Linked DNA regions of Macaca fascicularis. The protein of the gene in region 5 purifies or fractionates together with the protein of the main gene of each other region. This does not show direct contact. Links are inferred from orthologs where the notes say so. Each region holds a gene or a part of one and is shown on either strand. Other genes may lie near its edges.

Region 1 (4,431 bases), on a different chromosome or scaffold from region 5:
ATGGTGCCTGGCTCATAGCAAGGGCTGACTGCTGCCAACCTCCAGTGGTGGTCTCGGCCATCAGCACTCCTGGACCACATGCGTGCCACCTGCTGTTCCACCCGGGAAGCTAGGGGAGCAACTACTGTCTCCAGTTTGCCAGTGAAGATGGTGGCTGCAAAATAAAAGCCCAACTGGTCTCCTGGCCGCCCTTTCAGTGCCCCTGACACACTGTGTTGAGCTCAGAGAAAAACGGGGGTTTTCTCCTGTCAGGAACTAGGGCACCTGTCCCTCTTGCGGAAGCTGCTGCCTCCAAGGACAGGTGCTCATGCCTCCTCTGTGAGGGAGGGAGCTCCGTACACACCTGGCAGGACTCCACGCCCCCCTGGGCTCGCCCCTGCACACAACTCCCGGGGCCCCACCCCGGCCCCAGGCTCACCATGCGGGAGGTTCACCCCCCTCACCCCCCCCCCACCCCACACCCCCGGGGCCCCACCTCAGCCCCAGGCTCACCATGCTGGAGGTTCTGACAGACGGCTGCTCTCTGCACAGGCTTCTGGGAGCCCAGCCTGTAGGCCTTCTTCAGGGCTCGCTTGGCAGCCAGAAAGTCTCCCAGGTCTTGGAGGACCTGGAGAGCAAAGGACAGCACGGTTTTTGCAAAATCCCCAAGGCCCAAGTCTCCAGGAGCCTGAGCTCGGAACCACACACAGCGGGTACCTGTGCGATGGCCACGCAGCACTCGCTCTCCATGAACCGCTTCCTCATGGTGTGCGCACACTCCCGGGCACCCTCCAAGCAGCGCATAGCCTGGGAGTGCTGGCCCGCGCGCCAGTGGACGGTGCCCAGGTTGTAGCGGGCGCGGAACAGGTCCTCGTAAAGGTGGTTCTGCCTGCAGAGGGGTGATGGCCTGAGCACCTACGAGCTCCTGAGCACCCAGGAGCGTCCCACCGGTGATAGCTGCTGATGCCACACAGGCCCCAGCCCTGCCATGCTATGGTCTCAGGGCCCTAACCATGCCTGGTCTTCGCCCAGTGTGAGGCACAGGTGTGAGAGGTGGGGGATGAGGCCCAGCCAGGGTGCTCTCTCAGGAGGACCCTGGGAGAAATACTCCCCTAACTACTTCCTCCAGGAACAAGGGACTCCACTCTCTCCTGGGGTGGGGTGGGGCCTTACTCCGCAAGGAAGATGCTCTTCCTGAAGTAATCGTTGCACAGGGCTGTCTGCTGCAGGCTCTCAAAGGTAAGACCCAGGTTGAGGTAGAGGCGGGTCCTCATCTCATTCAGCTCTCCCTGAGCCAGTGTCCCTGGAAGATGCCCCCCACTCAGCCACTTTCTCCCCACATGGGGTTTCCAGCTTTGGGCCCCATTTGGGGCCTGTGCAGTGCCTCTCCTACCCTCTCCCTCCTCCCGATGTTGGGGCAAGGGTCCTGCTGCAGACAGAGCACAGAGTGGATAAAGAGCCGAGGATCTCCAGGGAAAAGGTTGCGGAGGGCATGCACCCCTCACACAAGAGCCCTGCAAAGGGAGGGCCCCAGAAGACGAGATCGCCCAAGGAGGCTGCGGGGGTGCTGGGCTGCAGCCTCTTCAGCCTGCAGTTCAGGAGGCAGAAAACGAGAAGGGGCCTGCCCACCCTCCAGCTCCTCATCCACAATAGCCAAGCTCTTCTCAAAGGCAGCCTGTGCCTGCAGCAGAGCATCCCTCGACTGGCAGTGGTCATAGATGTCCAGGTGGGTGCGGCCGATGGTGGCCCAGGCCCTCTGCAGCTCCGTGTGGTTGCGCAGGGAATGTGCTAGCTCCAGGTAGTGGTGCTGGTGCTGAGTGTGGAAGGAAGTCACTGCTGTGAGCTGACCCCGCCTCAAGCAAACCAGCGCTGCCAGATTCCCAGAGACCCTGTTCTTGCTAAGGAAAGACTCCTGCTCCCCTTAACCCCCACAGAGCAGGCCAAGGTCGGCCACATGCCCCTCCTCTGCATGCCAAGGCCTCTCTGTGGTGACAGTGGCTTCACGCTGTATGCAGCCAACGCTGTCACGTGGGGAGGGGCGGCTGGGGATTGGTGGGGTGGGGGTTTGCAGTCCTGCCTCCAGCAGCCAGGGTCAGGGAGAGCTTTCGGGCTGGGGCCTGACCACCCCCAACACAAACACAGCTAAAATAACATTCATTAATGGTTTCTGGTGCCAGGAAACCTACTCCTGCCCCAGTCCCAGGAAAGGCTGGGGGGTCCCCACTGGAGGACTGGGCCGGCGCGGTGAAGTTAAGGCTGCGTCAGGCCAGGTGTCCCTTCCAGCCCGAGGCTCCTGACGGTGAAGACCGGGCCTCCCTCCTCAGAAAAGGGCTCCAAACAGAGGCCGACCGGGCTGGGCGAGGCCAGTGAGGGCGCCCGCACCTGCAAGGCAGTCGGGTAGTCCTCCATCTCGGCCAGGCGCTCTCCGATCTTGCGGTGGGCCACGGCACAGCCCAGGGGGTCGTCAGCGCTCTCCCGGAGCCGCAGCTCCTGCCAGTGCTGCTCCAGGGCTTCGGCGTAGCGGCCTAGGCGGGGACACAGCACGGCCTGGCAGGCGTCGCGGGTGCGAGGGCGGACCTGGGGCGGCGTCTGCGGGAAGAGCCCGTCGACCCCCGGCCCCCGACCCCGGCGCGGGCCCCAGCCCCCAGCCCCCAGCCCCCGGCCGTGCACCCCGCTTCCTGGTCCCAGCGCTCACCATGGCCGGCCAGGAGCTCCCCCAGCTGGTGGCACAGCGCTGCCTCCTCGCGCCGCTGCCCGGCCCTCTGCGCCTTGGCCTTCGCCTTGCTCAGCTCTGTCGGAGGAAGAGGAGAGCTGAGCCTCCGCGGCGGGATTCGGGGCCGGGGCCGAGTCCCAGACCCTCCCTAGCCTCCGTGCCCCCGGCGCAAGGGGCCCCCGAGGGACTCACGGCGAAGCTCGCGATCCAGGCTCATGCTCGGGTCGCCGCGGGATCTGGACTTCCCGCGCTGCGCCGCGGCCCCGCCCCTCGCCGCCGACACGCAGGCCCCGCCCCTCGACGGCGGCGGTGGGCGCGGGGCATGCTGGGAAGTACGGTCCGCCCGCGACATCCTCGAAGTTCTAGTGTGGGAGGAGCTGGGGCGGGGACGCGGCGACAACTAGGGCGTCGACCCGAGGAGTTATCTTCCCGGACGCCGAGGTTGGCCCGCGCGTGGAGCCCTCTGCCCTGCCCGGGGAGTGCCTGATGGGGACCCCGTTCCTCCTCGCAGGAGGCGGGGACACGGGAGGCCGGGGTCGCAGCGCGCCCTGGGTGGGCTCTTCTGAACTGCAGCCCGCGTGCCGCCCGCGCCTCTCAAGGTGGACGAGCTGTGCCGCCGCCCCAGTTCCTCCTGAAATTCACACACAACCTGCTCACACGCGCAACTGTGAAAAACGCACGTAGGGTCCAGATAGAAGACTGACGATAAGTTCACGAGCATTTGGCTGTGGGGACGGAATAAGGTGCGCTCCTCCTCCACAGAACGCAGTGGGTCACATTTGGGGACTCGGCCCCAAGGAATGTTCTGGTAGGGGAATGTGCTTTCCGTAGTAAACAAGTACCGTTTCAGCAACGTATATGTCAGCTGTATTCTCGGAAGAGTCAGTGAACCTGCGCTTAAGCTGCAGAAGTAGCCCGGGCGCACTGGCCCGCACTGTAATCCAGGCGCCTTGGGAGGTGCAGTCAGGAGGATCGCTTGAGCCTAGCAGTTCGAGACCAGCCTGGGCAACATAGTGAGACCCCCATCTTTTTGTGTGTGTGCGTGTTTGTGTGTGAGTCTCGCTGTGTCGCCCAGGCTGGCGTGCAATGGTGCGATATCAGCTCACCACAACCTCCTCCTCCTGAGTTCAAGCGATTCTCCTGCCTCAGCCTTCCAAGTAGCTGGGACTACAGGCATGTGCCAGCATGCCCGGCTAATTTTTGCATTTTTAGTAGAAACGGGGTTTCACCATGCTGGCCAGGCTGGTTTCAAACTCCTGACCTCGTGATCCGCCTACCTCGGCCTCCCAAAGTGCTGGTATTATAGGCATAAGCCAGCACGTCCGGCCTGATACCCCATTTTTATTTAAAAAAAAGAAAGGAGGGAGGGAGGAAAAGAAAGAGGAAGAGAGGGCCAGGCGCACTCTTCCTGGGCTCACGCCTGTAATCCCAACACTTTGGGAGGCCAAGGCGGGCGGATCACGAGGTCAGAAGATCGAGACCATCGTGGCTAACACGGTGAAACCCTGTCTCTACAAAAAATACAAAAAATTAGCCGGGCATGGTGGCGGGTGCCTGTAGTCCCAGCCACTCGGGAGGCTGAGGCAGGAGAATGGTGTGAACCTGGGAGGCGGAGCTTGCAGTGAGCCGAGATCGCACCACTGCACTCCACCCTGGGCGGCAGAGTAAGACTCCATCTCAAAAAAAAGGAAGAGAGAGAGAAAACGACTGCAAAATTATGTCTAGAGTTCTATGATATG
Region 2 (4,216 bases), on a different chromosome or scaffold from region 5:
TGGCACGCTTCTGAAACCCCAGAAAGAGCCTGCCCATTCCTGTGGAAATAGACCTTCACACCTCCCAGGGTCTAAACGTCCTTGGCCTCAGGGGACTAGGCACACTTGGAGGTAGGGACACCAGAAGGACAGAGCCACACTTACCAGCTGGGGACACAGCTTGTCGGGGGGCAGGTGTAGCGCCAGCATGTCCACAACCTAAGATAGGATGGGGAGACTTACTTTGCTCGACTCCATCTCTGCCTCCCCAACCTCCCACAGCCACCTAACACCTTCCCCCTCTGTCCTGCCCCACATCTCACCTGTACAGCAAAATGCTTGGGAGTCTCCCCCATCAGCTCAATTTCCAACTCTTCCTCTTCTGAATCCTGGTCCTCAGGATCCAACTGGCCTGGCAGGGGCTCAGCAGCCATAATGGGGAAAAGGGTGTGTAGCAAGGGTGGCAGGAGACGATTCTTCAGTAAGGCCTTGACAGAGAAGGTGGAACAGTGTCCCTAAGAATCTGCTCCCAGGATGGGCTCACATTAAAAATTCCAGTCTTCCAGGCCATAAAAGGTCCGACAGAAAATTCCCAATCTCCCAGGCAGGAGCTGGGGTGAGGCTAGGCCAAGGCTTGAACCCCCACAGTACTTTAGATACCCTGAGATGAACTGAAAGTCCCAGGAGTGAGACTAAGGGTAGAGAGTGGGTGGGGTGATGTGTGTCAATGGGCACTCACTCACCTTGCTCTTGACTTTGACCAAGAAAGTGAGGCAGCAGAGAACACGTACGCGTATTGCATTGCCCAGGGCCACATTTCTAGCCACCTGTCCAGAGAATAATAAGAATCAGAGACAGGGAAGGAAAGTCCCAACAGAGCATGTAGCAGGGGCCATGTCCACTCCAGGCTCACCTCCAGGCAGAATGTGAGGACCTCAGAGAGGTAGGGGGTGATGATGGGCACCTCTGACTCCAACAGTTCATCCAAAACCTCAAGGGCCTCACAGGCCTTTGCCTGACAAACAAGGCACAAGGTTACCATGCTCTTCTTCAGTGGGCCAAGCTGGTCACTTTTGCACTCTTCTTCCAACAGAGCTCCTGCCCACCTGTCCTCACCTCATCTATGGGGATCAGAGTCTGCACAGCCACGATCAGCTTGGGCACCAACATCCGAGAGAGAGGCTGAGGGACACATCACAGACAGCATGATGCAGCCTAATCTCACACCCCAGCAGCTGACAGCTTCCTCATAGCCTGAATTGCGAGGAGGAGCCCAGACATAATAGCCAGGCCCACCTACAGCATCCCCTCTCAATTGTCAGGAAGGGCCACAGGCAGGTAAAGAATCCAAAGCAGTTTTGTAACTTTTACAGATGAGGACATGAAGGCCTGAGGAAAGGGAGTCAAAGATACGAGGGCCCACATCTCACCACGTCTTCAGTGCTGAGGTAGGGGGCCATGGTGGTCAGAGTGCGCAGGGAGTAGAAGAGCAGCCCAGGAGAGCCCACCTCACCAAGAGTCTCATTCAGAAGCCGAAGCAGCTCCCGGTGGTGGGGTTGGAAGGCCTCGGGCCGGGAGGTCACCACCACACTTAGCAGCAAAAGCCCCATCTGTCCAAGAATAGAGGATTGGAGAGCAAGCTTACATGGTCTATCCCACCTCTTAGTCCCTCCCTCCTGCCAACCATGTGATGGTACCTCTCTCTCTGGGCTGTGGGGGCTGTGGGTACTGTGCTGAAGAAGCTGCAAAAGCTGTGGCCAGGCCTCCAGGCCTTCCTTTCGAAAAATGGTGGCTGAAAGCTGGGCCAGGCTGAGGCTCACACAGTGCCTGCAAACAGGAGAGATCTCCTCTATCACTCTCCAATACCTTCCTCTGCACACAGTGGCCAGGCACAATGGGGCAGCCAGGAGAGAAACTTTCAGGAGGTGTGGGCACAGGGTCTTTACCAAGTTGGGACACATGAGACAGCAGCTCAGAGGGAGCCCAGCAGCACTGCGGGCATGTAATCTGGTAAGTTCAGTCTTACTAGCCTGAATTTCAGTCTTATTCTTCTGACTTGAGTTTGGCAGATCATAGTCACCCTTCCTCAAGAACTTCAGTCTTCAAAACAGCCTTAAAATTTTCGCTCCACCTTGGGTCTAGAACTGAAGTCCCTGCCCCACAAGTCCCAGCCTGGAACTGAAAGGGAAGGCAGAAACCCCGACAAGGTCGTCAGGATCCCGAGAAAAGGGGGTAGGTACTTACTCTGTTTCTCTCTGCAGGGCCGTCAGGATCAGGGACTTGAGGCTGGAACACAGTGGGCAGGTGTTTGGTACACAGACTGCCCAAGAAAAGTCTCCGCCTGGCCCCGCCCCAACCCAGGCCCAACCCACCTCTCCCGTTGCTCCGCCGCCAGCCGTCGCCAGCGGGTGTTCAGTCGTCTGCGGGTCAGCACCGCCGCAAACTGGCGGATCTAGGACGAGGAAACAAGCACGTGGGGGTCCGGGCAGGAGGGTGCTGAGCGGACCGCAGGGGGCGGATATTGGGGCTTGACCAGTGGCGTACAGTGGGAAGCTCGGAGGGGAGAGTCAGGGGTCTCACCTGGGGGTCGGCCGCCGAGGCCAGCAGGTCGCAGAGAGCCGGCAAAGCGGCGGGGGCCCGAAGAGCGATCTGGAGCTGTTCCGTGGCCTGGGGGGAAGCTAGGGGTGAGAGTCGGGTCTTTCCCGCAACCTCCCGCTCGCCCTGGCCCGGTTATGCCTACTCCCGTACCCGACGGATGCGCTCGGTGTCCGGCAGCAGCAGCTCCCGTAGGAGCTGCTCCAGGCCGGCGGGCTCCATGGCAGCAGCTGAGCCGCCGCTACTGGGCCGAAAAGGGGAGGGGGAGGGACAGCACGTGGAGGCGCTGACACCCACTTCCGGCGGAAAGGGCGTTGCCACACGCCCCGAGGGTTGCCAAGGTGATTCAATTCACTTCCCACAAAGAGGTCCGACTCCTCCACTTCCGTTATGCTGAGCACCGGCTGAGTCGCGGAAACCCAGCTCTGGCAATGTAGGTTCCCCACGCCGGGAGTTCCCAAGTTGGGTTGGAGAACTCAAGCTTCGGGCATTCAGTGGCCAGCTCGGCTTTCTAAAGGACCGTGCCCTTAACCGCGGGGCTGGAGTTCCTATATCCAGACCAAAACCTCCAACTACATGATCCTTTTTCTTAACAAATTTTATTTTGATAATTGTAAAAAGAAAAATCAGGACCAAAACTAAAGGCAACTTAAAAATTTCAAATATATACTCCTTATGTAATAGAGATTTATAATTTCCAGGCCCTCTCTGGGGAAGGAAGGCCCAAAGGGCAAAGGGGAAGGCAACAATGCCATCACACAATTCAGTCAATCAGAAGAGAAGCTGGTAGGAGAGCTCAAGGAGGCATGAAGAAAGGGAGAGAACAGCAATACTTCTGCCACACAGAACTCAGTCCATCTTGAGGTTAACATAGATATACCGGATGAACTTTAGGGAAGAAAAAAAGGAGATGGTGCCCAGCATGAGGAAGAAGACATAACCAGTGAGTAAGGAGTAGCCAAAGAACTCTACTGTCTGTACTGCCCCAGACATGTTGGAGCGCCGGGCATAATAGAAAACTGAGTAGAGAAAGATGAAGAGGCCAGTGGAGCCAACACTCAGCACAGATCGCCACCACCAGCGGTAATCCTCCCCAGACAACTGGAAGTAGGTGAGTGCAATGGAGATGCAAGCCCCCACACTCAGCAGGATGGCGAAGACAAAGAAGAGGATGCCGTACAAAGTGTACTGCTCCCGACCCCATACTGTGGCAAAGATGTAGTACAGCTCTACAGAGATGGCACTGTGAAGAAAAGAGATGATACACAGCATTAAAGGGCTGTGCACAGTGGCTGGGCTGAAATCCAGCCCCCCACCCTCTCCCATGTTGCTGGGTCATTGTGAAAAGTGAGTTCACTCCACTCTCTGCCCCAGATCTCCTGGCTTCATGGGGATTTTTTGCCTATGATTAGCTGCTCTCACTTCAAGAATATCTTCCCTAATAGATTGAGGGCAGGGATCTTATCCATTTTACTTTCCACTTCATTCTTTGCCTGGCACAAAGAGGTATTCAACAAAGTAAATGGATCATCAAATGGGCTTTAAACCCCACATGATGTCCACAGACACTAAAGTCAGAAACCAGGAAGGTGAAGGGGGAGATGTCTCTGGAGGCCCTTATAAGTGAGACATTCTTATATCT
Region 3 (4,176 bases), on a different chromosome or scaffold from region 5:
CCAATTCTAATGTTCGCATTTTGCTTTCTGATGGTCTCTCTTCTAGGATTTCCCTTCATGAAACCATGACAATTTTACTTAAACATATGTTTTCTATGCTTTCTTGCATAATAAGGGTATTCACTGGCAGCAATCACAGGAAAATGTGGCAAATCTTTGTTGCAAAGGTGATTATATACAATGGATTTTGTTTTGTTCAGAGGTATATGAAAAAAGATAGAAGGTTGATATACAATGAGAAAATTGGGCCAATAGACACCTACATTGTTAATAAGTAAACAGAAAAATTAAATGGAATTATTCCTCTTTCTCCCATTACACGAAAGTAGTAGTTCTGGTGTTACCAAGTTAACAAAGCTAGGGTGTCAAACTTTTTTATAATTAAATGATACACATCTATTATTAATTTGCCATCGTGTGACTATTACAGCATAAATAGGGACATAATAAAGGTCTTTGTAGTTCTACCGTGACTTACATTTTACGTCATTTTGGCAGAATCCTCTAAACTATATGAGTTAATATTAAGAAATTTTGTTTTACTAAGAAATTATATCACTATGGAAAGAAGTACTAATAAAATTACATACGTTTGTAAAGTGAGGATAATAGATTTTACCCCATGGAGTTCTGTAGGACTACTAGAAAAACCACGTGCAGTGCTTAGAACCGTGTCTAGCACACAGTAAGAACTCAGTAAAGGTAGTTATTGCTATGTATTTTTTACACAAAGAGAATGCTTCTCTCCTGCAATTTATGAAAATTACAAAAACTGCAAACCAACTTAGATTAGCAGCTCAAATACAGTGTTTGGAAAATGCTCCAATCCAATATTTTTAATATTCTTTTGGGAAAAAAGTGACATCACATTTATAAAGAGGGGGCACTCAAGTGAGTCTAAAGAGCAAAATGTTATGTGGAAGTGACTAAAGTGATCTCTACCTTTAAGCAATTCATTTTGGTTTAAAACATTTTGTAATGATTGGACCACACAACATTTCTAAATAATGATCAAAACATTAGCTGGCCATAAAGTAAACAAAAATCTAGTGAAACTGTTCAACATGATACTTTGTGACTAAGCAGTCAGTCATTTTGACCATAAAGGTAGTTGAAGATGAAAAAACAAGTGACTTCTGGAGTCCATTAGACCCAAGCTAAAGCAAAGCCTAATAACGGGCATAATTGCTAAGCAACAGAGAAAAACTGTTCTCTTTCTTTACTGTTAATCTATCATTTCCTTTTCTAACTTCTGAAGATCCACCAACCCACAACAATAAAAATTACAATTACCAACATAAGCCCTATCCTTTCTCCATTGTTCACCTCTTACATCAAAAGCATACCTATATATTTTCAATTGTTTTAAAAAATTCAAAGCTGAGATTTTTCTCATCATCCTCCGAAAATTACAAAGGCCGAGTACAATGTTCTTCTATAAACTAATGATAATACATTTAAATAATATGACGGGTAGGTGTCAAATAAAACAGGAGACACCTTCCCATTCAATTACAATATGAACAAACTCCACAAAAAAGGAAAGCTAAAAAGGTTTTCCAATACCAACACGAGAGAAAAATTAGTAACCAGATTAACTAACCCACTTCTCCATTCCTAAAGTGGGATCCTTAGTCTCTGAAAACCTTTGATTATTCTTAAATTCCCTTCGATTAAGAAAAATATCACAGGCACGCAAGCACACCTCAGCAGCCACGGCGCCCAGCAAAACAAATAGTGATGAGGATGAGGATGATACGAGAGGGGTTACACAATCTCTCTGCTTCAGACTGGGGGGCGTGTCCCCCAAGGTTTTCTCTTCCTTTCTACTGGAACGACAGCTGTAGCGCCACAGGGAGAACCCAGCCACACGGCCTGCAGGGCCCCAGGATTTTGTGTGGGGTGCAGAAAGGAAAGAAGGAAAATCTGAGGTTCCGAAAAGTGCACAAGAAAACAGGCTCGGCGCGGCGTTGGGAGCGAGCGCCGGGGGTTTGGGGATTCGGTGCGGCCGGGTGAGAGCCTCGGCCACCCCAGGGAGTGGAGGAAGCAGCGCTCACCGCCCCGTCCACCCGCTCGGCCCCGGCCCCCCGCACCCCACCCTCGGGGCGACCCGGACGCGCTCGGTGGGCGTCCCAAGGTGCAAACCAGCTGGGGAAGACGGCGGGTCCTGAGGCTCTCGGGGTCTGGGGCAGGAGGGAGGAATCTTCTGTACCCGTTGTTCTCCGCACAGCAGCAGCTCCGGGTAACTGAACTCCACGCAGCTCTCGTCGGTGGGGTCCTTGAGCACCAGCTCCAGGCGCACCGTCTCCCTCGGCGGCCGCGGCGGCTGCTCAGCCCGGGAAGCCGACTCCCGCGGCGGGGGCGGCTGCAAGGGCAGCTGCGGGAGCGGCGGCGGTGGCTCGGGCCGCGGGGGCTCCCGCTGCAGCGACATGGGCGGCTCGGCGCGGCTGACCTCGCGCTGGGGGAGCGGCTTCTCCCGCGGCGGGGGCTGCGCGTCCGAGCGGGGGGCAGGCTCCCGCGGGGCCGGCGGCTCCGCCCGGGCCGGCTCGCGGTACGGCTGCGGCTCCAGCCGGGGGGGTTCGCGGGGGTACTCGGGCTCGCGCTCGGGCCCCGGGTACTCGGCCTCGCGCCGCCGCACCGGTGACAAGCTAATGAACGCTACTCTGCGCGGCTCCGCCATCCCCACTGTTCTGGCCCTCTGCTTTAGCTCGAGCCGGCGCTCGCTTCTACGCCGCGCTGCGTGCCTGCCCGCCCTTCCTCTTGCTCTCCGTCGCTTTTCTTCCCTCCACCACCCTCAGCAGTCTCCGCCGACGCCACGGTGAGTGCGGACCGCGTCCCCTTCCCCGCTACTACGTTCTGATGGGCTTCACCGCCATCGCCAGGGTCGCCGCGGCCGCCATGTTGGATCCCCCACATAAATAGAAGCAGGCCGCTGAGCGGGCGCATGCGCACAGAGGAGACGCTCGCGTCCACTGTCGTGGCTGTTGCTCAGTTTTCCTCTTTTCCTCCCAACAGTCTGGCGTCCAGACAGGTCGGCGGAAGTGACGACATGGCTCGGCCTGTTTCCGTGGAAACGGAGACGCCGTCTGCACCCTTTCTCAAAGGGAGGGTTCTGGGGTTTCCCGAGCAGCTTCCTATTCGTACCCGGAAACCAGAGGCGCTCCGGGAGCTTCCCGGGGCGAGCATCGGGATGTGCCTGAGACCGACCTAGCCATGGCGCCGGGTCTCCCGCGCTGGGTTCAAGGGAACTGGGGTTGTTAGCTGATTATTCAAGGCGGACTCTGGGCAAAGGTAGACAGACGCGCCGGCCGTCGTGCCTGCCAGGCCTGTGTCCCCGTAGCCTTAAGTATCGAGGGAAAAAAGGAAGTGCCCACCTTCAGCCCGACTAGCCCCAGCGGCTTCCCTCCCGAAAGCGCAGGCCTCCCCTTCCTCGACCTACTCTGGTTTCCCTCGCCCGGCCGCAGTGGGCGTTGCGTGGGGCAGGGTCATTAAATGTTCAATAACGCTTTGCAGTTGGAAAATTAACAAGCAGGTGAAGAGTTCTGGGCTCATTCAGAAGGCCTAAACTGTTGAAATCACAGAAAACTTCTTAAGAGGGTTTGGTGGTATTTCAGGAAACGTACTGTTTAAAATAATGCTAAAGGACCCATTTCAGGTTGGGGAAGGAATTGATTGGGCACGCCCCATAGGCTCACTTGTAATTAATTAATTGGAAGGTCTGAAAGGATGAGAATTACTGGCCATTTTAATCCATTGAATAAAAAGTAAATTTGAGGGGTCGCCCTTCACATCCAAGCCTTCTGTTAATTGCATTAACTGGATTAACTGTTGAAAGCTCTTTTATTAAGTCTGTGACGTCATAGACAAATTCTGAGAGGGTACTATTTTTTCCTCTCCTATTACTTTCCCTACTTGGACGAAGATGGTGATGAAATCTATGATTCCAAAGATCTCTCCCAACTCTAAAACCCTATCTTTTCTCCTCGGCACCATGTTTTACCTCCGTTATCTCCTTCCCCATTGCTCCTTTTCTGATTACGAATTCGGGTCTCATTTTTAGATTGTCTTTGTGATACTTAAATGACCTGCCTTCAGTCTCTATCCCCGCCAGTCTTGAGACGGGGTCATATTAATATCTCTAAAAGAGTTTTTATTATATCATTCTCTGCTCTGGCT
Region 4 (4,296 bases), on a different chromosome or scaffold from region 5:
TTTTGAGACAGAGTCTTGCTCTGTCGCTGAGACTGGAGTGCAATGGTACGATCTCAGCTCAATGCAACCTCCACCTCCCGGATTCAAGTGATTATCCTGCCTCACCCTCCCAAGTAGCTGGGACTATAGGCGCGTGCCACCACCCCCAGCTAATTTTTGTATTTGTAGCAGAGACGGGGTTTCACCATGTTAGCCAGAATGGTCTCGAACTCCTGACCTTGTGATCTGCCCGCCTCGGCCTCCCAAACTGCTGGCCACAGCTCCTGGCCTCAAAATGTTAATAGTTCGAGAAATCCTACCCTAGACACTGTCATGTCTTGTTTTATTTTCTTTGTGGCATTTAATCTGAAACTTTCGTGTTTATTATGTCTCTCCCTAAACAAAATGCCAACTCTATGATAGCAGAAAGATTTGTTCCATGCTGCACCTATGGTACCTGGTTAGGGTCTGGAATACATCAGAAAGCCAGCTAAGAGAGAAACAGGAACTGTTTCATGAAATGAAAGTGGAATGAGTAAAAGTAGGGATGAGAGAAAACATCGGATTACCTATTTCATTCACATGATCCCCAAACATCCTCCTCCAACCCAAGCCCCCACACCACCACCAAATTTGTAAAATTAGAAAAGGGATCCTTTCCTTTTTAAAGAGAATTCATGAAGGTACCACAATTTAAAGCACCTGGAGCATGCCAGGCAGGAGCTGAAGTGCTATCAAGAGATGATAAGACAGAACATTTTCCTGCAAAAAAAATCTCAAGAAAAGCATCTAATAATATCAAAGCAGATGCCGAAGTGACCATAAATAGCACCGAGTCTTTAGATAAATACCTTAAACAGAGTAAGTTTAGGAAGTTCACACTTACCAGGACATCTGGCTTGGAAAAACCTAGTTATTTTGGTTAGTCTACGTATGTTTTATAAGCGTTATATGAGTATTTTTTAAAAGCAGACTGGAGCTTCCTAAAAAACTTCATCATCCATACATGAAACCACCCCACCCTCTGCCCCAAGCTTAGCGAATAAGTAAAGGTACTGAGAAAATTCGTTTCCTTTCTAGTCACTTCAGAGAATATCATTCTCAAGTTTCCAGTTACCAAAAGACATGGATTTCTACACCCAGCTGAAGGATATGCTTTTTAGTCACTTAACTTTATTTTCAGGACAATCACAAAGATCTATTTGTGTGGTTTTGAGTCACTAGCTTTGATGCAAGTGGAACAGAAACAACCTCACTAAAAACAGGACCCCCCTCATTAAAAAATCCTGTATATAAAACGGACACTCCCAATCCAGGGATCCAAAGATACACACAATTAACACATATGTGTGTATAAAGTTACTAACTGCTCTTTATTCTGCGATTACATCCTAATTTTATTTGGCACTAAAATATACTTTCCTTTCATGATAGTATGGTCCTAGCGAGTAGCAATTTTTTTTTTTTTTGAATTAAATATCCTGGCCAGGCATGGTGGTTCACACCGGTAATCCCAGCACTTTGGGAGGCCGAGGCGGGTGGATCACTTGAGGTCAGGAGTTCGAGACCAGTCTGCCCAACGTGGTGAAACCCCGTCTCTACTGAAAAATAAAAAAATAGCCAGGCATGGTGGTGCAAGCCTGTAATCCCAGCTACTCAGGAGGCTGAGGCAGAAGAATCACTTGAACCGGGGAGGCAGAGGTTGCAGTGAGCTGAGATCCTGCCACTGCACTCCAGCCTGGGCAACAGAGCAAGACTGTCTCAAAATAAATAAAATAAAATAAAATAAAGTTAAACATCCTGACTTAAAACATCACAGCTCCAGGACAGTACCAACTTTATATTAATTTCATGTCTCCGTGAAATCCCAAAGGGTAGAAGGAACTACAGCCACGATTTTCAACCAAGGAGGAATCTGCTGCATAGGGAACACAGGGCAATGGTATTTTTGGTTGTTACTAAGAGTTGGGGAGAGGGGCTGTTACTGGCCTGCAAAAGGCGGAGACCAGGGATGATGCTCAGCACCCTGCAGTGCCGTGCCCAGGACAGCAACAAATATCAACACTGCTGAGATTGAGAAACTGGACTGGTGTCCATTCTAGCCCTTCATTCGTTCACATTATTTAGTGAGCACCTACTATGTGCCAAAGCGTAATGCCAAGCGCTGCCAAAGCGTTATGTAATGCAGAGTCCAGCAAGGGAGAGGAGCAGTCTGGTCTTCCTTGGTTCACCCTCCCACGTTTCGGGAAGGCTTGTTGTGGGATCCAAAGACCCCGTTCCAAGGCACAGGGAGGAGAAAGTCACGGTGCTTATCAGGCAGTAGCAAGAACTTGGGAGTCCCAGCCTCCTGGCCATCCCCACCATCCGGGTCTCTTACCCGGGCTTGCCCCGACCCGCAGAGGCATCGGTCCCGGTCCCCGAGCTCGTGTGAGCTCGGGCCTCAGTTTCCCCACCCGTTGCAAGATCCAACATGGTCAAGGGACACAAACGCACCCAGTAACCTTCAGGGCAAGCCCTTTCGTTTCCCTGGGCCTCAGTTTCCCCTCTCGGCTCCTCCGACCCGTCGCCCCAGAGGGCCCTGGAGGGACGAACTGACCCAAAAGCGCCGGAAACAATATGGTCGCGGCTACAACAATAACGTCAAGGAGGGTGCCCCTGGGGACGCCAGGCCTTCGCTGGGGATGAGAAAACTCCAGGGGGTGAACGCCCGGCCCACAGGACCAGGCTCGGCGCCGGGAGGCCCGTCCGCCTCCCATCGCCGCCTCGGCCCGTCCAGGCCGCGCGCCGCGCCCCCCCTTCCCCTCGGCGCGAGCCCGAACCGACCTGCGGTGGCTCCCCTGGCGCCGGGCGCCCCGCACTCCGGCTCCTCCAGCATCACCCCGGCAGCGGCTCGAGCTCCTCTCAGGCGGCGGAGGCGCGGGCTCCCCTCAGGCGGCCGCTGCTCTTCGCCCTCCCGCCCGCGCCGCAGCTGCTGCCGCCGCGGCCGCCGCGCTCGTATTTGGCGGGAACCGCGACTACCCCAGTGGTCCGCGCGCTAATTGGGCGAGCCCGGGTCACGTGACGGCCCGCCTCGGGAATTGAGGAGCGCCGGGGGCATCCTCGCGAGAGCCGTGACTTCTATTCCTCCCAGGGCTCGCCCATTGATATTTCCGCGGGGGACGGGGCTTCCCCTCGGAGGCCTGTCATTGGCTGGGAGGAGCTGCCCTGCGATTGGGGAAAGAAGGTGTCAAGCTGATTGTCCTGGGCTGTGACTGGCTGATCGCGTGGGATAGTCCCTAAGAGGAGGGAGGCCCAGGCTCTTACGTCACCAGGAGAACGTTTTACGCAGGGCGCAGATGACAACTTCAAAGTGGGATTTAGATGAGGAACCTGGAGTTTTGAGTTTATCCTAATGGGACATCGGCTAAATATAGCAACAGCAATTAAAATTATAAATTGCTTTCTACAAGAACAATAAAACGAAGTCTGGGGAGCGCTTCAGACGTATTTGACATTCAGTAAATAACCTGTAGAATGAACGAAATGGACGAAATGGTTTCTGGTTTAATCCTCGGGAAATTGGCACATGTGTATTTCTCTGCCTAGAACAATCTTTTCGCAGCTCTTTTCCTGGATAATTTATACTTTTCAGATCTTATATCGGCACCCCAGGAAGCCTTTTCTTCCCCATCTTCCCCAACCCTGACAAGATCAAGTGCCTACAGCACTGTTCTTTTTCTTAAAGCAATTACAGCTGTGTCTTTGTATTAGTTTGTTATTTGACGAATGAATTAATTTCTGCTTTTGTCATTAGTTCTGACGAGGTAGGACTCATTCCTCACTGGAACCCCAGAACCTGTTAGTAACTGATCATATTTACCAGGTCAATAAATATTTGAGTGAATATATAAATATTTGATTGAACTGTGTAGATCAAACAGATTCAAAGCCTCACACAAAACAGAGAACTTCAGTGTCAGCTTGTGAGTCTAGAAACAGGCTGACTGGCTGGCTTGCTTGCTTGCTTGCTTGCTTTTCTTTCTTTCTTTTTTTCTTTCTTTCTTTTCTTTCTTTCCTTCTTTCTTTCCCTTTCTTCCTTTTTTTCTTTCTTCTTTCTTTCCTTTTTATTTCTTTTCTTTCTTTTTTCTTTCTTTTTTTTCTTTCCTTTCTTTTCTTTTTTCTTTCTTCTTTCTTTCCTTTTTTCTTTCTTCTTTCTTTCCTTTTTTCCTTTCCTTTTTCTTTCTAAAGTGTTGGGATTACAGGCGTGAGCCACCGCACCCAGCGGAAACAGGTTTTCTTCCACACCAATTTAATCTCAGAAGGAGAGGTGAGCAGAGA
Region 5 (3,696 bases):
ACATTAAAAGATGACATACAAAAAAAGGGGGATTCCATAGCCAAATAAATTTGGGAAATGCTGGATTAATGTTACTGGTATTCTTTACTGAAGGATGTCTCAGAAAATTTACTATGCCAGTGTGCTTTATGAATCCTCAAGGTTTACAGCATTTCCCAAGTGTTTGGCTATGTTATCTTGTTTGTGAGGCACTGTCTAGGAACTAGTGTTTCACAAAAGAATATTTTGAGAAACTCTGATATAAAGTATGAACTCTGGTAAGAACTTTATAAAGAGCATTTCACTGCCTTTCTGGATTGCCATGAGAAGCCTAACAGCCAGTAAGTGGCTAAGTGGACATTAAAAGGGTCTTTGATGTCATCTGGTAATGTAATTACTGAATATGAAGTAATGCTTTGGTTTTTTAACCCTAGACTTGGAATGGAAAATTATCTATGTGGGCTCTGCAGAAAGTGAAGAATACGATCAAGTTTTAGACTCTGTTTTAGTGGGCCCTGTTCCTGCAGGAAGGCATATGTTTGTATTTCAGGTAAGATTAATCTTGGTAAATGTGTATGCCACATATGTTTTGAAGTAGACTATATTATCTATTATAACTGTTATCCCTTTCCTTTTGGGTTCAATAACTCTGTTTCTGCTGCATTCACTTTTAATCTGTTTCCATCTTGTTTTAGGCAGTCTCTGTGTCACAAAGGAACTCTTACTTCCTGGTTTTATATGCTGAGAGATGTTAATGTGATGTTTATTTTAGGGAGATGCACAGCCTGCAGTAAACTTTATACTGTATCATGGCACACAGGGTGGTGAATTTTGGGCTCTTCCTGTGAATAGCATCTAAGTATCAGACTTCCAACGTGGCTGTCTAGCATCCCAAAACATGGATTCAAAATATCTAAAACTAACTGGCATTGTCAGTAATATGCATCTTCAGTTTATGGTTTTAGCCACTATAACTGATGATGTAACAAAAACAACTTTATTTCAGCATAATCAGTAGTTAAGCTAGGTTAACAGATATGTTTAGTGGATAGAGATGTGTGGTCTTGGATCATTGGAATGACATTCCAGAGTTTACTAAAGCATCTAATAATCTACATTATCTTATAGAGGACTACTTTTGCAAATTTACTACCCCACTAGGTATTTGTGAGGAGAAGTTCTAGTCATAAAAATTATGTTCTTAGATACCACTGAGAGTATTTGGATCTATACCAAGGCTTCAGACATTGTCTTCTATATTCAAAAGTGTTATTTCTTTTAATCCATGTTAAATTGCTATATGAAACCATTCAATTATTCCTCAATTATGCATGCTTCTTTATAAGGGAGATATTTGTAATAGACCAAAGAGTAACTAGCCATAGGTTTTTAAAACTACTATTAATTTCTGTTACAAGTATTTCAACCCAACAAAGTCCCATCAGTTAAGTGGAACTCACTGAAAAGACTTAATCCAGAAAGAAAATCTAACTCTTCCTATGCCTGACCTCTGTTTTCTCACTTCACAGATGGGACCAATTTAAATGAATACTGTTGGTCAAATAATCCTATCAGAAACTGGCAAAGAATCACTTAGACACATGCTATCTCTAGAGCTGCTACCTTTCCCTCCCCTGTCCTAAATACAGAATTTAGAATCTTGGTTTCCTAGCCATAGTACTTTTGATTAAAAAGCAACAAATAATTTACTGTATCTAAAGAAATAGCTAAGAAAAGCTCAAATATACTAATTAAATATATGAATTAAAAGTGCTGTTAATCAAAGTTGTGTGAGTGCATAACCCTGTAAAAGACATGGGTAACACAATGCCCTGCAGGAGGAAGCACTGCAGTTACAGATACAGGTCAAATGCTGACACCTCTGCTTATTGCTGTGTGACTTTACCTGCCTAACCTCCTCCCTTAGTCACTCCAGTCTTCTATAAAATATGGATAATATTCTATCTCATTAAAATGTTATGGGGAATAAAACAGTACACTCAACTCACTCATAAATAGTGCCCTATTCCTATAATTAGAATTACATTTTTATTCTCTTAACTTCTTGAAATTGTTATATAAAAAAGCAGGACTTGCTTTGACCCACAGGCCTGGGGAACCCATACTTTACTGATAATTCATGATACAGTAAAAGAAACCTGGGTTGACATGTACTGATATACCTTTGGTTTTTTGTTTTTTTGTTTTTTTTTTTTTTTGCTACTATAAGAACTTACAAATAAATGCCTTGTTATTGAAACAAACCCTGAAAATCTTTTGTGTTTGTTATTAAGCATACTCCTAAGCTTTTGGCTGAAAGTGCTATAGGAAAAAAATGTATTCAAAAGCATTTCCTGCCAGTGATCTTCACGTAGTTTTACCTTGGTGTCAGTGTACATGTTGCAAAAAAGAACAGAGGAGGCACAATGTATATTCAGCCTGAAGGTTTTGCAAAATTCACCATTATCAACAGAAAGAGACTAAATTACAGCTTTTGTTTTGGGTTTTAAAACTGCTATAGTAATCTCCTGGTCTGCCACAATTTTGCCTCTCTAAATGGTTAAACATGTCTTTCTTTGAATGAGTCAAAGGCTACCAGGAAGATGTCCAGACATCTGCCTAGTATTGCTAGCTACAGTCAAAACAAAGATCTCTGCTCATCACTTCTGCATCCTAAATTATTTGAAAGGCTTGCAAGTTTCTCTACTCAAATTTGCTCAAAATGAATCCTTTTCAAATTGTAAAATGCTTTTAAAAAAATGTTTTATATTTACCACAGATTTTAAAACAGAAACATGCCTAGAACCAATTCACTGAAGGGAAGCAATATGGGGGAAGAGTTCTCATAGCAGTACTGAACTATTATGTATTTCCCATCTCCACCCACTTCCAGGTATATTAGAATCCGTTTGGGTACACTGGAAGTAATCTAACCCCTCTGTGCAGGGGTGTGTAGAATCTCTAAGACAAACAGCATATTCTCCAGGACAAGGCTGGCTGTCCCTATCCTGGTGTCTCGCCAAAGAGATCATAAACCCCTTTGGGGCAGGAACTGAGTTACCGATGAATTCCAAAATAATAAGTGCTCAGAGCTGAGCCACACATGAGATTATAAAGATGAACTGGATGGGACTCCTGCCCTGGATAAAGCGTAGCATCTAGAAGAGAAGACTGAAAAATAAACATGTTTAGATCACAGGGCATACATTCTTAAAGAATTTGTGACAAGAAATATCAGCACATAAAAAAGGAATCTATTGATTCTACCTTCTGAGTTAGAAAGGGCATCACTGAGAATACACTCAATGTAAGCTCCAAAAAATATTAAAAGTTGAATTTTTCAGGATGTGAGAAAAGGACCTTTCAGGCCAAGGGAACAGTATGTTAGAAGCACAGGGGGTGAAATACTTCTTTTTTAAATTTGTTTTTGTAGAGATGGGGTTTCGCCATGTTGCCCAGGATAATCTCAAACTCCTGGGCTCAAGTGATCCGCCCACCTTAGCCTCCCAAAGTGCTAGGATTACAGGCATGAGCCACTGTGCTCGGACAGTGTGAAAGATTTATCACCAAGTTTTAAAGAACCTGTGTAATTCATATCTCTAGAACAAGGGTGGAGTTAAAGGAGGTATGAATGGAGATGTTGGTTGGAGACAAACTGAGAAGGGCCTTATCAATGAAGTTAAAGAACTGAGATTTTATCCTTTAGAAAAGGGAATA
Region 6 (3,696 bases), on a different chromosome or scaffold from region 5:
CAGCCTCTCCTGGTCACCAGCTCCCCACCGGGCCCCAGGCCCACCTTGACTATGGGATCCTGAACCATGTGTTTGTTATGCCCAAGAGCTAACCGACACTTGGCAATCACTGAGGCAGGGCAGGTTGCCTAACAAGGTGTTTACTCAGTTCCGCTTTCTTGCACCAGAGCCCCATGCTTTTTCCGGTTGTATCATTTTGTTGACACTAAATCTGTCCCTATCTTTCCCAAGAAAGTGAAACAGCAAGTCTTCACACTAGAACACAACCTATGGCATGAGTGGAGACACAGCCAAGAATTTGGTTTTGACTTTTCTCTAATGAGCAGCTATCATCACATAGACCTTAAATGATTTAACAAGACTTTCAGAGACTATGAAACAATTTGATTACAAACCAGAGGATTAAAAAGAGCAAGATATAATGTTTGTTTAACATGAATTCTGAAAGCAAATATAGGACAGTAGGCTCAAACACACCAAGTTCAGATTCAGCTACTTCCACCTCAAGGTCATACTTAAGGGATACTCCAAACCCCAACATGGCACAATTCATTTAAATCATTACATTCAAATACAATACTTGAATTTCCAATGCTGAACACAAGCTGACAAAGATGAGATAGAGATTGGAACAGATACTTTATTTGCTTTATATACGGCGTTCAAATAGTTTTTGGAAGTGAGAAAATCATTTTAGCAGTGGCTGACAATTTACCCTGCCCTAAAACACAAAGGATACTATACATAACAATGCTTCTAAAATACTGTAAGAACTGCTGGTTTAAAACCTACAGCTGTAGATTATGAGTGCCACCAGAGCTGCATCACAAGTCCTGATGCTTAAGATAAAATGTTATTTTAACTTAAAGGTAAATGATATTACAACTAATGATCCATGCCAGGTTTACAGTTAAGAAATATGTTACTTGAACAGACAATTCTCAGAGCTTAGGGATCAATTCCCAGTCACTGGAGGAAAACAGCAAGAGCTGCTATATCCTAAAGGTGGTGATGGTGGTTGGTTTGTTTTTTAACAGAGTCTCGCTCTGTGGCCCAGGCTGGAGTGCACTGGCGCCATCTCCACTCACCACAACCTCCGCCTCCTGGATTCAAGTGATTCTCCTGCCTCAGCCTTTCAAGTAGCTAGGATTATGGTATGCACCACCCTGCCCAGCTAAATTTTTGTATTTTTAGTAGAAAGAGGGTTTCACCATGTTGGCCAGGCTGGTCTCGAACTCCTGACCTCAGGTGATCCACCTGCCTCGGCCTCCCAAAGTGCTGGGATTACAGGTGTGAGCCACCGTGCCCCGCCAATGGTGGGTTTTAACGGGGCATGGACGGCAATTAAAATTAAGTTACTTTTCATTCATCACATTGGAAGCATTCCCGTAATCACTACCTAACTCTAGATACACAATGCAAAGGAGCAACTGAAACCTAGTGGCAACGAAGCATATACTCTATGTGCAATTCATATGTTTGCAAACTTTTGTGAATTTGCAAAACCTTCGGAAGAATTCTAAGATGAATCTCTGCCTCAGCTGCCTGTTGCCAACATCATCCATCTATCACATGAAAGAAAAGATGCCGAGTGGAAAACTGACAGAAAACAGAATAATCTGACAGAAAACAGAAAGACAACCATCTCCCCAGAAGAAAGCAAACTTTCCAGAAATGAAGAAATGAAGAATGGCCTAAAATGATGCCTGACGGGCAAGGCTTGCACTGTTTTCTCCCTCAGAATGAGAAGACAGTTTGGAAAAAGCTGACACCTTAACTGCCAACTCACTAAGGTTTCTCTGGGCGAGCTTCACGCAGTGCAGAACCAACGGCAATCTGCCCAAACTGCTTCCAGGAAAGCCCAGCCGCACTGTGTCACCATACCTGAGCCAGCTCCTTAACGCGCTTCTCCAGGGGTGCTGGCAGGCCTTCGGGGAGAGAAGAGGGCTGCCTGAATTCCTGGTCCAATCCCACCCCAAGGGAATCACTTCCATCATCCATATCACGGAAGGGGCTTCCTTCTGGAGACTCACTGAGCAGATGCTCCAAGTCCAAATCCGTCAGCGAGTCCATGGCAGTGGCCGCCTGGAGGAAGTCGTTGTCAGAAGTGGAGCCAAAGAGTGAGAGCAAGGGGTCAGAGGCACCCTCCAGTTCTCGCAGGCCCTGAGCTTCCGCTGATGGGACCGCAACAGGCTTATGCTCCTCCTCCCTTTTTTTCTGAGCCTCTTTCTCCTTCTGAAATTTCTTTAGCATCTCTTTAACGCTTAAAGCCCCAGAATATTTCTTCTTCTTCTTCTCCTTACTGGCATTGAGGGCTGTGAAGCTGCAAGCAAGAGGGAAACTGGTCACTCAGACTACAGGACACTGCCAAAGGGAACTCCAGAGGCCTTCACCCCTGCTCCCAGGGCCATGGTCTCCAGGAGAACCTGTCACAGTCCACCCTGTCATTCCTCCTCCCTCCTCTTGGCATATGGAGCTCGTTCTTGCTGAGACCAAAGCTTGAGAGTTAATACAGGTTAGCAACACAGTGTCACATATGCTAAATTTCCGACGGGTTTTTAGAAACCACTGCCAGGCTGAAATAAAAGGTTGCAAAAAGGGGCAGGGAGAGCAAGAAAAGTATTTACAGGGAGAAAGCAGGAGCAGCAGAGAACAGCAGCAACTTGAAGAGCAGCTGGGGTGAGACCAAGTGAGGAGAAGGAAGCAGGACCACAGACGACAAGGGAAAACAGCAGAGACAGAAGGAGAACTGGGGCAGAGAGGAGCGTCCCGGAGAACGAGAAACATCAGCAGTCACACAGTGACAAGAATAGCTGCCAACACTGACAGTGGAACTATCTGACACACAGAGAGGTGAGCGTGTATGCCCAGAATGGCACTGCGGGAGGCGTGCAGGAGGACAGGAAGGCTAGGCCCTGCTGCCTCTTCCGAAGCTGTGGGGAGGAGGTGAGTCAGCTCCCAGTCGTCCTGCCCTAACAGTTCAGGCTTTATCCTAGCAAAGAAGCTGCTGCCTCTCACCCGGCTTTGGAAAACTTGGACTTTTTCGATTTCTTCTCCTTGTCATAAGTGTCATCTTTTTTCTTCTTCTTTATCTTCTCACCACCTTCCTTCAACTTCCGCTTCTGAGAATTAAAGACAAGGCACAGTTACACGGCTCCCTAACTCAGGGAGCAAGTGCACTACACGGCACTGGCCTTGCTCCGCCCAGGGCACATCCTGAGACCTGTCTCATTTCCTTCATGAACAAAAGCTCTCAGATTGGTCCCTGGACCACAAACCCACAGCATTCCCACCGACGGTGTCTCCTGGAAACACCCAGGGCTGAGACAAAAGTGACCATTCTGGAGCCTGAAACCTTTCTAGTTTGAAAGTTACAAGTGGGCCCTACCTCTTGTTTTAAACACATAGGCAGTGGTAGACAGGTTTTTAAACACACTGATCCTAAGGCTGACTGGTTTTCAGTGGGGTGGCAGCCCTGGGAACTGAAGTCCTCTACACGTCCACAGAAGAGGGTCAGCAAGGGTGGTACACATCCCTCACTCCACACCCTTCCCACCCTTAGGCCACCTCCAGAAACGATCCCTGCTGAGCCTGCTGGGATGTTATGTGAGGTGGACACGATGACCAAGTGCTGCACAGAGCCCCCACAGGCACGTGTCCTCATCAGGGCACATGTGTATGAGGTGAACCATCGAC
Region 7 (4,460 bases), on a different chromosome or scaffold from region 5:
GCTAGTATCAAAGCCAACTGTAAGCCAGGTGAGGTGATGCATACCTGTAGTCCCAGCTACCCAGAAGGCTGAGGTGGAAGGATTGCTTGAGACTAGGAGTTGGGAATCCAGCCTGGGCAACACAGTAAGATCCCCATTTCCTAAATTTAAAAAACCTGAACTGAGGTTTATTTCTCCTTCCATTTTTTTTCCTTTCTACTGGTTCGGAAGTTATATTTATTCTTTCAATGTTTATCCTCGAAGTATAATGTACATTCTTACCTAAAGTCTAAATTCAAGTCATTTTCTTTAACCTACCCTTAAACATGAGGACCTTATAAACTTTACTTCTAAATGTCCCCACTAACTTACTTAACTGAGGCACATGCTTTCATTGTTCTCTCACACTAATTAGATGGGGAAACGAGGGAATGAAATGAAAATACCAGCCAGGGTTGGTGGCTCACGCCGGTAACCTCAGCACTTTCAGAGGCCCAGGTGGGTGGATCCCTTAAGCCTAGGAGTTGGGAGACCAGCTTGGGCAACATGGTGAAACCCGTCTCTATAAAATAAATACTAGAATCAGCTGGGTCTTGTGGTGTGCGCCTGTAATCCCAGCTACTCAGGAGGGGGAAAATCACTTGAGCCCAGGAGGTAGAGGGTGCAGTGGGCGATGATGGCATCACTGCACTCCAGCCTGGGTGACAGAGACCCTGCCCCCTAACACACACACACACACACACACACACACACACACACACACACACACACACCCCCCCCCCCACATATAATTGCTCAGTTTTAGCTTTCAATTTATGGTGTGAGGAACTACTTAAATGGTTTGCTTTCTTGTAGCCACATATAAACTTTCTGTACGTATAACCTGCCAGGAAGCTGAGACTAAGTTCACTAATGACCTAACTCTGGCAAGACACAGGGGACCTGCAAGAGAGATTTGTTGCATACTTTTATCTCAAAAAAATAAAAATAAAAATAAAAAAACACATACACACACCTGGTCCTGCGCAGTGGCTCACACCTGTAACCCCAACACCTTGGGAGACCAAGGCGGGAGGATTGCTTGAGCCCAAGAGTCTGAGACCAGCCTGGGCAACATCAAGACAAAAACTTAGCCAGGCGTGGCGACTGTAGTCCCAAGCTACTAGGGAGGATCACTTCAGCCCAGGAGTTCGAGGTTGCAGTGAGCTATGACCACAACACTGCACTCTAGCCTGGATGTGAGAGCCAGACCCTGTCTGCAAAAACAAAACAAAAACACACACCTGTCAGTGAAATACTGACTGCCAGAGCTATCCAGGAAACATTATAAAAAGGAGCTCTTTTTATAACAGCTATAGTACGACTCTCAAGCCCAATCTATACTGCTCATATCGAATCAATGGGGAAAGAGGCAGGTAATGGGAGTTTGAAATTAAAATTATATTTCCCATGAGTTCCCAGATGATTGTCAGGGTGACTTGAGAACCACTGCTCTACAAGAATGCAGAGAAAACAAAAGGTGGTAAGCAAAGATGTAAGTAAATCTCTAACTATAAGCAAACTAAGACATAATCATGACAGAGTGTAAGCCTATAGAATATCAATTTAAAAAACTTCACAGCAACCATTCCGTTCACAGGGAAGGCAGCTAACCTCTAAAGCGCACAAGATTAGAAAAAGAAAAAAAACAGAACCAGATCACTAAAAAAATAAGGCAAGATTGGGAAATCAGACCTACTGTATGGGAAACAGCACTTGTTTCCTTGAAGTCATGTAGTGTTTCCCTCCACTGTTCAAAAAATAGATTACGCCTGAGTGGCATTGTGCTGCTTTCAAAGCAATCCTATCTTGTTTCCCTCCAGCCCTTCTCCACTTCGTGCACACTACTGCCGATTCACCTAGCAACCAAACAGTGCTGGTGAGAGCTCCAGACGGCGCTTCCTGAAGACGCTTTGCGTCCGGATAATGTTCCCCCGAACAAGGCAACACCTCCGAAGTCTAAAGAACTACAATCCTCCCCACCACAGGCAGGGGCTCATGGAGTCGAGGGGAGCGATAACTATCTCCCAGCACAAGACGTGAGCGAGGCGTGAGGGGCGGAACTAGCCTCACCGGTCCCACAGAATAGTCCAAATGCTCCCGCTGGAGCCGCAGCGGCCCCAAACAATAGAGTTTTCCCGCCTCCTCAAGGCCCCGCCCCCTGCTCCAGAGCCGGCAAGGGAAGCGAACGCTCGCGCGCAAAACCCCGCCCTCAGCAAGGCCCCGCCCACCCCGACCCCTCAGGTCCAGCCTCCTTCCTCGTGCAGGGGTTTTTTTTTTTCTTTTGGCGCCAAATCTCCGTTGGTTATATTCCTGGGTTATCCAGGGACTCTACCCGAGGCACACGCTGGGGACAGAAGGGGAGTGAAGGCCAACTCGTGCGCCAGGGCCCCGCCTCCCGGCCAACCGCCCCGGGCCGGGGGAGGAAGAAGAGGGGCAGGCGATGGATACAGCCGCCGCTGCCCCCGGCAAGATGGCGGCCGCAAAAAGCGGGGCAGGGGGCGCCAGCCGACCGCCGTTACCGCTGGTGCGCGAGGCTCTCAAGCCAGAGGAGGACTGCTCCAGTGACCGGGCCTTCCCGAACAGCGACAGCTGCTCCCGGGAAGGCAAGTACGCCCGCCCACCGGTCTGTCCCTTCTCCGGAGCCCCCGTCCATTTGCCCTCCCCGCGGACTGGCCAGTGCCTCAAGCTTTCCAGTCCCGCTTACTTGTTGGCAGAAACCAGCTCCGCGGCGACGGCGGCAGTAGCTGTGGACTCAGTGGCCATCGTTCCCCTGAGGTGGCGAACCAGCGAACGGAATAGAGCCTGTGAGAAAAACAGGCAATTTGGGACGCCAGAAACTCACTCAGGGACAGAAAATGGCAGATTAGAGACCCCGCGCGGCTGGGGCCCTCTTATATACTAAGGCCCTTCGCCCCGCCCATCCACTTCCGGGTCCTCCCCCTCGGGTTTAAAGGGCCAGGACTCAACACCGCCCCACCGTCCGCCGCAGGCCTACCATTATCTAAGGACACCTCCTGCCCTCTCCATATGGCTCCGCGGCGTTGTTTCCCTCCCTAGCCCGCCTTGTCCGATAAACAGCAACTTCCTGCTTCTCCACCAAGTCGCATAAGAACTGGAATCTTGCCACTACAACTCCTGACAGGACGCCCCTGCGGCATCCAGAGACAGGGAAGCCAGTGCTGCTCTCCATGTTTAGGGCGAGTAGCCGAGAGTCTCCTTCCGGCCTGGATACTGAGGAAGGTGACTTAGACTTTCTCTCCGTCCTCTGAGTCGTAACGGACGGACACGCAAGAGCCGAGGACGGGTACTAGCAGCAGCGACTAGAACTGATCTGGGTGAGATCTGGGCCTCAGCAACAACTGACGCAAGAAGATTTTGTTCTAGGATTGGCTACAGCTGAAACTACCGCGCTTGATTCAAAGCTCGGGGCTGCAGCGGAAGGCGGCTGGCTCCTCCCTCTGAACCCGCCCCCTTTGGCTGGCCCAATCCGCTGATGCCATCGTCTTAGGCCCTACCCAGACTCCAAATCTGGCTGGTTTAATGCTCCCAGCGCTTTTCGTCCACTCCTGGCTATGATTTGCTGAGTGACTACTACATGTAGGGGTACTGTGATTAGACCCTTTAAAGCTATTAGCTATCTTGTTTAATCTTAACAATGCTACTAGTGAGATCGGTGTTAGTCTGTTTCTTAGAAAAATAAGCAAAGGGGCCAGGCGCGGTGGCTCACGCCTGTAATCCCAGCACTTTGAGAGGCCTAGGCTGATGGATCACGAGGTCAAGAGTTCAAGACCAGCCTGGCCAAGATGGTGAAACCCCGTCTCTACTAAAAAATACAAAAAGTAGCCGGGCGTGGTGGCGGGCGCCTATAATCCCAGCTACTCCGTGAGGCAAGAGAATATTTGAACCCGGGAGGCAGAAGTTGCAGTGAGCCGAGAGCTGGCCACTGCACTCCAACCTGGGCAACAGAGCAAGACTCTGTCTCAAAAATAAATAAATAATAAATAAATAAAATAAATAGGCCAAAGTTCCAGCCTGGCCAACATGGTGAAACCCCGTCTCTACTAAAAATACGAAAATTAGCCAGGCGTGGTGGCAGGCGCCTGTAATCCTAGCTACTCAGGAGGCTAAGGCAGGAGAATCACTTGAACCCGGGAGGCAGATGTTGCAGGGAGCCAAGATCTTGCCACTGCACTCCAGCCTGGGCAACAGAGCGAGACTCCATCTCAGAAAAAAAAAAAAAAAAAAAACAGGTCAAGGAGGTGTGACTTGTTCAGAAAGTTGCAAGACAAGTCAGTTATGGAAAGCAGTGTGCCTCATTTCCTGCAACTGGCTGACTGAAAAATAACTGGCAGGCTAAAAAGCTGCACTTCCTCACACCTGGAACATCATCCATTCCTTTTCACCATGGCCCAGTCTACGCTGATCAGAGTAGGGGTTTT

What was found.
Region 1: the proteins of ASF1A (region 5) and TONSL purify together in Homo sapiens (affinity purification with mass spectrometry; 4 studies listed by BioGRID and IntAct, counting the BioPlex papers as one, with this or other methods). This does not show direct contact. The link is inferred for Macaca fascicularis from reciprocal best matches to the Homo sapiens genes ASF1A and TONSL.
Region 2: the proteins of ASF1A (region 5) and IPO4 purify together in Homo sapiens (affinity purification with mass spectrometry; 4 studies listed by BioGRID and IntAct, counting the BioPlex papers as one, with this or other methods). This does not show direct contact. The link is inferred for Macaca fascicularis from reciprocal best matches to the Homo sapiens genes ASF1A and IPO4.
Region 3: the proteins of ASF1A (region 5) and UBN2 purify together in Homo sapiens (affinity purification with mass spectrometry; 3 studies listed by BioGRID and IntAct, counting the BioPlex papers as one, with this or other methods). This does not show direct contact. The link is inferred for Macaca fascicularis from reciprocal best matches to the Homo sapiens genes ASF1A and UBN2.
Region 4: the proteins of ASF1A (region 5) and CHAF1A purify together in Homo sapiens (affinity purification with western blotting; 3 studies listed by BioGRID and IntAct, with this or other methods). This does not show direct contact. The link is inferred for Macaca fascicularis from reciprocal best matches to the Homo sapiens genes ASF1A and CHAF1A.
Region 6: the proteins of ASF1A (region 5) and UBN1 purify together in Homo sapiens (affinity purification with mass spectrometry; 6 studies listed by BioGRID and IntAct, counting the BioPlex papers as one, with this or other methods). This does not show direct contact. The link is inferred for Macaca fascicularis from reciprocal best matches to the Homo sapiens genes ASF1A and UBN1.
Region 7: the proteins of ASF1A (region 5) and NASP purify together in Homo sapiens (affinity purification with mass spectrometry; 6 studies listed by BioGRID and IntAct, counting the BioPlex papers as one, with this or other methods). This does not show direct contact. The link is inferred for Macaca fascicularis from reciprocal best matches to the Homo sapiens genes ASF1A and NASP.

The regions. Positions count from the first base shown.
Region 1 is NC_088382.1:154,152,134-154,156,564, forward strand, and holds the start of TONSL (tonsoku-like protein), read right to left. Parts: upstream 2,968-4,431; 5' UTR 2,910-2,967; coding exon 2,885-2,909; intron 2,771-2,884; coding exon 2,675-2,770; intron 2,569-2,674; coding exon of another isoform or gene 2,505-2,568; coding exon 2,362-2,504; intron 1,793-2,361; coding exon 1,609-1,792; intron 1,283-1,608; coding exon 1,153-1,282; intron 869-1,152; coding exon 697-868; intron 608-696; coding exon 493-607; intron 1-492. UniProt on the Homo sapiens protein: Component of the MMS22L-TONSL complex, a complex that promotes homologous recombination-mediated repair of double-strand breaks (DSBs) at stalled or collapsed replication forks.
Region 2 is NC_088381.1:92,003,090-92,007,305, forward strand, and holds the start of IPO4 (importin-4), read right to left. Parts: upstream 2,826-4,216; 5' UTR 2,797-2,825; coding exon 2,728-2,796; intron 2,647-2,727; coding exon 2,560-2,646; intron 2,432-2,559; coding exon 2,352-2,431; intron 2,266-2,351; coding exon 2,224-2,265; intron 1,807-2,223; coding exon 1,677-1,806; intron 1,590-1,676; coding exon 1,410-1,589; intron 1,162-1,409; coding exon 1,096-1,161; intron 995-1,095; coding exon 893-994; intron 807-892; coding exon 723-806; intron 468-722; coding exon 303-467; intron 199-302; coding exon 145-198; intron 1-144. Other genes in the region: TM9SF1 (transmembrane 9 superfamily member 1), read right to left, coding at 3,424-3,817. UniProt on the Homo sapiens protein: Nuclear transport receptor that mediates nuclear import of proteins, such as histones, RPS3A, TNP2 and VDR. Serves as receptor for nuclear localization signals (NLS) in cargo substrates.
Region 3 is NC_088377.1:180,910,699-180,914,874, reverse strand, and holds the start of UBN2 (ubinuclein-2), read right to left. Parts: upstream 2,978-4,176; 5' UTR 2,681-2,977; coding exon 2,213-2,680; intron 2,030-2,212; exon of another isoform or gene 1,706-2,029; intron 1-1,705.
Region 4 is NC_088393.1:5,141,927-5,146,222, reverse strand, and holds the start of CHAF1A (chromatin assembly factor 1 subunit A), read right to left. Parts: upstream 2,996-4,296; 5' UTR 2,855-2,995; coding exon 2,803-2,854; intron 1-2,802. UniProt on the Homo sapiens protein: Acts as a component of the histone chaperone complex chromatin assembly factor 1 (CAF-1), which assembles histone octamers onto DNA during replication and repair.
Region 5 is NC_088378.1:22,830,681-22,834,376, forward strand, and holds part of ASF1A (histone chaperone ASF1A), read left to right. Parts: intron 1-413; coding exon 414-529; intron 530-3,696. UniProt on the Homo sapiens protein: Histone chaperone that facilitates histone deposition and histone exchange and removal during nucleosome assembly and disassembly.
Region 6 is NC_088394.1:5,674,130-5,677,825, reverse strand, and holds part of UBN1 (ubinuclein-1), read right to left. Parts: intron 3,123-3,696; coding exon 3,019-3,122; intron 2,324-3,018; coding exon 1,885-2,323; intron 1-1,884. UniProt on the Homo sapiens protein: Acts as a novel regulator of senescence. Involved in the formation of senescence-associated heterochromatin foci (SAHF), which represses expression of proliferation-promoting genes. Binds to proliferation-promoting genes.
Region 7 is NC_088375.1:189,135,907-189,140,366, forward strand, and holds the start of NASP (nuclear autoantigenic sperm protein), read right to left. Parts: upstream 2,887-4,460; 5' UTR 2,785-2,886; coding exon of another isoform or gene 2,726-2,784; intron 1-2,725. UniProt on the Homo sapiens protein: Component of the histone chaperone network. Binds and stabilizes histone H3-H4 not bound to chromatin to maintain a soluble reservoir and modulate degradation by chaperone-mediated autophagy.